Drosophila melanogaster: one gene and its partner. The protein of the gene in region 1 interacts with the protein of each later gene in a pairwise test. Each region holds a gene or a part of one and is shown on either strand. Other genes may lie near its edges. The genes, in order: Skadu and CG15546.

The links.
Region 2: the proteins of Skadu (region 1) and CG15546 interact in a two-hybrid assay, tested with the Drosophila melanogaster proteins (one large-scale study listed by BioGRID).

The regions. Positions count from the first base shown.
Region 1 is NT_033779.5:15,545,433-15,548,955, forward strand, and holds Skadu (skadu), read left to right. Parts: upstream 1-2,086; 5' UTR 2,087-2,132; coding exon 2,133-2,180; intron 2,181-2,235; coding exon 2,236-2,589; 3' UTR 2,590-2,811; downstream 2,812-3,523.
Region 2 is NT_033777.3:30,874,344-30,878,270, reverse strand, and holds CG15546 (uncharacterized protein), read left to right. Parts: upstream 1-2,084; 5' UTR 2,085-2,136; coding exon 2,137-3,369; 3' UTR 3,370-3,906; downstream 3,907-3,927.

The DNA of each region.
Region 1 (3,523 bases):
CTATTAGTATAAGAAATTCACTTTGCAGCTCTCAACTTCTTCGACATGACAATGGAATTTTCAGCATTTAAAATGGCTTAGCCGTTTACACTGACTATTCCAGAACACTTTTTATTTTAAGCTGACTTTGCAGCACAATTGGCCAACTTGACGGTCCGCCGAAGGATTTAAGTTCGTCCGGCGCCTGACGAAATGCTGCCAAAATGCAAAACAAATACAACAAGACTAAAGTAGGATGAAATCAGAGTGAAGGAATTTTCGGTGAGGGGAAATGAGCGTGGGCAAACAAATCCTGTCGCATAATTTTTGGCAAGAACGTGAAATTAATTATGCGCAGGAAGAAAAGCGGCAGGCGAATGAGCACCAGCAGCGGAAAAGGGCTAACACAAAGGACCTCGAGTAACATCCTGGCCAAGTCGCGTCAGCTGCCAACAATTTTCCTGGCGCCCAACAGGAGCCGCCGGAGTGGGCAGCATTCGGTCTGAAGCATCCGAGGATTATGTTAAATTTAGCGGTGACGATGACACACAAGACACTTGGCAAAAGGTTCTCACACAATGGCCGCAATAATTGCGCGGAATTGGGAATGCCTGGTTAGTGGCGTGGATGGCGAGGGGAAAGGTGGAGTGGCAGCGGTACAGCAGAAGGTGGCCATTAATTGTGCAAAGTCAGTGCGGCTGAAAAAGGCAAAGTCAGTGCCAAGCAGTAGACGCCGCTTGCCAAAAGACACTCAGGCAAAATTGTGTGTCTCCGAAAATAAATTTGAACTTATATGTAGTACATCAAATTTAATTGAGAAATAATATTTCTAAAATATTTCTTACTTTGTTTGGTTTTTTTAAAGCTTAGCTTTATAAAACAATAAAAATATGATTTTAAAGTGTCAATAATTATGTATATATTTTTTCAAACCAATTATAATAGCAATACCAAAAAAAATTTCATGTTGTGTAGCTTTTTTTCTTATGTTTTGTTATTTTGTTTGAATATGTTAATATTTATTTTGTCAAGGAAAACATAAGAAGTTATGTTTTCAGTGAATGACAGACAAAATGGAGTTGAAATAAAAGGACGATGCAAGAGAATAAAATGCCCTCAACGAGGTCCTTCGCCTCCTTTACCATTTTCGTGTCCTCCACCTCTCTATTTCGGTATGCCATAAATTTGATGCTATTTTTATTGTCATTTCCATGGCGAGGCAGAATGTTTGTTTAATTTTATATGCCGACCAAAGGACTTCCCTGTCCTTTTGGGCAACCCTAACAATTAAATACAATTTCGTAAGTCCCGAAAAGTGCGTCGTTGTCACAGCAAGGAAATATACAAGCGAACGGCATAGAACAGAGCGTATGTATATCTACATAAATCATGCACGGTTCTCGAATGCTTCGCTTCTATTTATCAAGCTCAGCGGAATTCTATGTGGAGAATAATCTAAAATAGGTGGCGGGGAAACCCGGAAATGTACTTTTTGCAACGCGCATGGAAATTTGTTTTTGGGCAGTATTTCAAATACTTTAATTTCTTAATTTACCGCGATTTACCAAGCCGCATCGCATTAGGGAAAGGCATGGAAGGCTTTTCGTCGGCAGCGGGAGAGACAGCATTTCCGTTTGCGGCTGGCCAAATATTTGCATTAAATTTGGCCAAGTGGCAACGTTTATTTTGCTATTATACATTTTTTCTGTTCTGTCCCTTTGCTTGCTTTCAATTGCGTTTTTTACCCCCTTTTTTTGTGCTACGGCACTTGATTTTCTCATTCTCTATTTCCTCTTCATTTTTCTTCACTCTGCGAGTGTGTGGGGATATTTTTTTTTAGTTGTACAACAATTTCTTTGTTTGCTCTGTGCTTTCGTGGCGAGTTAATTTCGTATTTCCGCTCATTTAACTGCATTTCCCCCTGCCGTCCATCTCCATCTACCCGGTTGCCATGGGCCGGCTCAAAGTGCCGTGAAGTTGTTTTGGCCGCAGGAAGTTCATTTGTAGAACAGGCAACAGAAGCGAAAGTCATATGAATTTGTAGAGAAGAGCCGGCTATGAAGTGCCACTCGGAAGGAGTAAAAAGAGTTTAACTTCAGTGTATACAAAAAAAAACAATTCAACACGAAAATATATATATTTAATAAGACCAAATGGAATCAGCCGTACGAAAGCGCAGAGTTCCCTTTCTCCAGGACAATGTGAGTGAATATTCCAGGAAAATTCATCCGCCAAAACTAATCATAAACTTTTTAGAGACATTCCGATAAACGGACATGCAACTTGTCAACAATATCACCTCGCAGCACTCTAGTTCAAACAGTAAAGAAACCCGTCAAGAAGTTCTCTTCGGATTTAGCCAATCTTCCACCGGTTCCCGCAATCGATGCTTTTGAGCGAGGCTACCAAGTGGAATCGATATTGGACATGGTACAAAACATCCACAAGGAGCAATTCCTCTACATAAAGTTTACGAATCTCATTGAACCCGAGTTGGTTCCTTTGGAACTGGCCTTACAGCATGTTCCACACCTGCTTTCTGATTTCTACAAGGAATACGTCCAGGCCTGGCAGAAAATGGAACAACAGAAGTATGATGAATCTCCTTAAAATTGAAGAGAGAAATTAAACACAATGAAGTATGAGAAGTGCGAAACTGCCTCACATTTATGACGCATCCTTTTCTGCAGTCTCGCGTCGAGTTTTAAATAATTTTATGCCTATTTGGCTCGTACAGCTCGCAAAATTTCGCACCTCAGCCATCAAAAGTTGGGGCGGACGTGCGTGCCAGAAGTTTTTGCCATCCGCAAATAAAGGATACAGAAAATGTTTAAACAGGGGTGTAGAGATCTCTTTTTTAATGGGGGTTGTTGGTTTGTTTATGCTTTCATTAATTTATAACGTAAAACTTGAATTTTGAATTTGAGAAATATATTTTATTTTCATATTCAAAAAGATCATTTAACTTATCACATTCTTTTGAAAATTGCAATTTATAATTATTTTTTGTACCTTTTTTTTCTCCTTAAGCCCCCATTAGTCCACTCCCCTGAATATCCTTATAAAAATTATATGTCAAGCGCAAAATCTCGGGCAAAACGAGTTGGCGAGAAAAATTGCTTAAAGATGCAAGATACAAAAAGCTGGATGAAATTTTCGAAGAGAAAGGCAAACCGATTCTAAAAGCGAGGAAGCGAATGTGAAATGCATGTGCAGTAGATGCGGATCTGAAGGAAAGTGCGAATGTGAATTTAAAATGATGTGCATGCGAGGAATTCGATTATTTAATATGAGAATTTGATTCAGCATCTCTGCTATGAGTTCGGAGTCTTTGGCAGCAGGTGCACTTCCCCCTCATGGAGACTTTACGACGACCAACTGTGCATCTGCATCTGCATTTTTATGTGTGTGCGGGTGCGCAGTATATTTGTTTAACTTATGTGTGTCGGATTCCGTTCATTGCACGTACTAACCCCTTTTACCCGCCACTTTCACTGCAACCCTTTCACCTAAGATGGCAAAACATAGCTTTGCCTTTCGCCGC
Region 2 (3,927 bases), on another chromosome or scaffold:
GCAACAGCAGCAGCAACAGCAACAGCAACAGCAACAGCAACAGCAGCAGCAGCAACAGACCAGTGCGCCTATGTACAATAACAATAGTAGTAGCAACCACAACGGCAACAACCAAAGCCAAGAAGTAACTACCTATTAAACAGACCAAATGAACTGAAACCACAGCAACACCAACAGCCAACAGCAACATTGAACACCAAAAAAAAAAACTCACCATTTCCGCATTCTGTATTCTGTTACCCTTCCGTTTACCCCTTTTCCCTGCAAATCCAGGTGTCGGTGCCGGTGTCGCACATCATTGCCAATTCGCCGACGGCCGCCACGTATATGCAGGCCCAGCTGAGCGAGCACGCCAGCAACATGCAGCACGGCATGCCCATTGTCACGTACAATGGGAACCAGTACTGCGTGATTACCCGTGCCCCGGATCTGGATGTGGAGGCGATGCAGAAGCCGCTGGACTATGGCCACGCAGCCGGAGGAGCCACCAACATAATAGTAATGTCGCCGATGCAACTGCTGCCCCCCCAGCAGCAGCAGCAGCAGCCGCAACAGCAACAGCAGCAGCAGTAAGCACCATCGAAGAGAAAGGCTAACTGACTGGCCAATCAGCTATAAATACGAATTGTAAATAAAGTCTTAAGCAGCCGAGAGCAACCCTAAGTATATGTTTAACAACACTACCCAGCAAAACTAAAAACTAAAAACAAAGAAAAAAACAAAGTTTGTAAATGTCAGGTTATAAAGCATAGATCCCCGTGTCAGCGATGTCAACTCAAAATCAAACGTAGTCTAAGCAACCTAACATATCCCCCCGCAGAACGTATATGGTACCCATCTACATGAGCAGCCACCACACTGAGATATATAGATATGCCACTTCGCCGTTTCGCAATTTCAGACCCTCCAGAGTAGTATCCCCACATAGACCCGTATGCAAACCGAACGTGTATGATATTGTATGTGTTTCTATGGCATTGTTTGTACATTAAGCTTATTACGTACTCCAAATACGTCTTCGACTAAAACGCAGCCTGGGAGGTAAACCAAATAAAATGAATTAATGGAAGCAAAACATAAGTAGCAGTAGTAGTGTCCATCAGCAAAGCTCCCCACACATCTCCCCACTCCATTCCAATGGCAAACCATGTAAAGATCAAGAGAAAATAAATTTAATTTAATTAAATAAACACTGGTATGTTTTACTGGTGTTTCGCTTTTCCTTTTCAAAGTGCATTGTTCACGACATTGTGTCAGAGTATTGAGCTCCTCTCAACTTTCAGCCATGTAATGTTACGTATACGCAGTGTCGGCCATACTGAGCATCATTCAAGTGACACTCACTTGCGGCCAAAAGTACGTTGAAGTTGAAGCCATTAAAGCACCCAATAATTGGCATCTGTTGTCGTTTATTATTCTTGGTCGGCCAACTTTGGCGGCATTCTGGCTTTTTAGTCCGAACGGACAGGCCAAAAGCGAAGTAAAAACCAAAACATTTGGTCAACGCTGAGCTCACGAAAATCAACTTTTCGTTCCAAAAGTGAAAAATGCCGCGATTTGGTTTGACCTTAGATGGAAACTCGTCTCTGCCGCTGCGCCGTCGACTTCGCTGCCAACGTCCACGCTGCACTGGCAGCAAATAAATTTTTGCCTCGATGCTGTTTGTGTTTGTTGTTAATAAGTCACTCGAAGAATTTGCAAAAGGGTATAATGTATTTTCAAAAATCTTGCGAGAGGCTAAAAACCAAAACCAACAAGTGTGTCATTTTCCAAACTGCCTGCAGTGAATGCAGCGCACTGTTTGCTTTCGAAGAAATCGAATATGGAAATATAATTAAATGCTGTATATTTCCAATTCGTAGAGTATCCAAAAGTTTATAAACACAGAAACTCTCGTTTTTACTCACTTCTCGAGTTATTTTTCGCAAGAATCGCAAATTAGTCTGGGGCCTGGTTGATCACCTGAGCAAACGAAACTGAACGCCTACGACAAATGACAACGCCGATGGCGACGCCAACATCTCAGCCATTTTATGTGCTCTCCGGCCTCCGACGGATTCTTTTTGTGTCAGTCGGTTTGCGGACCAGTCTCCGATCAGTCGAGTGGACCACCAATCCGGCGAAGATTGGGCGACCATGCTGAACGGAAAATTCTACACGGGCTTGCCGCCCAAAATGGTGGAGCGCCAGGCGGTGAAGGTGTGCAATCGCCAGGAGTCGCACTTCTTCTGGCCAGACGATTCCCGAGCGGATTCCGCGGTGGAAACCCGAGCAAAGAGGAGAAACAGCCAGCAGCTGGAGAGGCCTGTGGAAAGGATTACTTCCAATCAGAATGTATCCGACGAAGTGGACACACGGCGAATGTTTCACAAGGAGTTTGCCAGTTCTTCCATACAGTTCTATGATAATCTGCAGTCTAATCCTGGAAATAAACCTTCATTGGCAAGGGGTCTACGCAGAGAAATAACCCCAAAACTAACCGAAGTGAGACCGCAGGAATCGGATAACAAAGCTGAGGACACCAGCAGCCGTCGCCAGCAGGCTTACAGCTCCAAGATCCAGTTCTACGATTATGTAAACGAAGCAGATAACCTAACTCAAAATAACGCCAGGAGACCACAAATGGACTTGAATGACAAGCGCGAAGTGGAACTGAATTCCAAGAACAGTCCCAAGCTGCAGGTCAAAAGAAATGTGCGCAGTTTCAGCGTGGAACTGGAGCCCAAGGTCACCAAGAAACCCCTGAACGACAGTCCCGAGTGGCGGCGGCCACGCCCACTGCCCCTGCCCAAAAGGATACTGAAGCAAACGTCACAGGATCAGGACCCGTACGACCATCTGGAAAGTCGAGTCCGAAGATTGCAACTAACCCGAAGTCCCGGACTGCCCAAAAAGCATGTGACCTACAACGAGGAGGCTGCCGAGTACGCCTACTACGATGATCGGGTGGATCGCGATGATCGGGAGGATCGCGAGGATCGTGAGGAGCCCACCTACGAAACTCGCTACCGTCAGCAGCCAAATATGCCGACAGGAAGTCGCCAGCAGCAGCAGCAGCAGCAACATCAACGCTCTTTTATGGAAACTAGTCGGAGCAAGCCATTAAATAATAATAATAATTATCAGGCCAACGGCAATGGTAGGAAAATCTTTCCAAAAATGCCACAGACCCAATCCGGAGTGGGTAACACACACACTATCGACGAAGATCCCCCCGTGCCCTCTGACCCTCGCAAACACCTGCGCAGCAGCCTCTGCTTCAGCGGCGACGCTTTGATGGTGGGCGGTACGGCGTCGCAGTCGCCGCCCACTGCGCAGGCGCGTCGCAGCTCAGCGGGGCAGAGAGTGAGCGTGGGTCTGCCGGACTGAGGGCTCCAGTTCGCGTGTTCAGTGATTAGTGCAGCTACACAGTGAGAAATGCAAGTGCAAAAACATATAACTGAAGCGATGAAGAAGATCATACAAGAATATCTGCTTGACAATCATTAGGATGAAATAGTATTACAAATATTTCTCTATGTAGTAAGTCGACAGCAACAATCTGCATTGCTAATTGAAAGCCAACAGCGACTGCAACAGAAGCAGCAACAACATCTGCAGCACAACAGCCACATCAGCAGCAAGTTGATGCGACAGCAGCAGCTCAACCTTTTTTTAGTTTTTACTTTTACGATCCCATACAAACTCTGAATTCACCCACATGCGAATGAATGAGTCGGCTTTTTTGTTGTTTTCGAGCGGTTGAATATACATACATAAACAAACCTTGATCTTGACTAATTTGTCGGCGATGCTGTTGTTGTGCACCACGATCATGTATTAATTTAGCTTTTAAAGCCAACGCAGAAAAATCTATAATTATAATGATAGAGATATGCTAATAAACTAATACATATATAACCAAATAAATTTCGAATCGGGAAATAT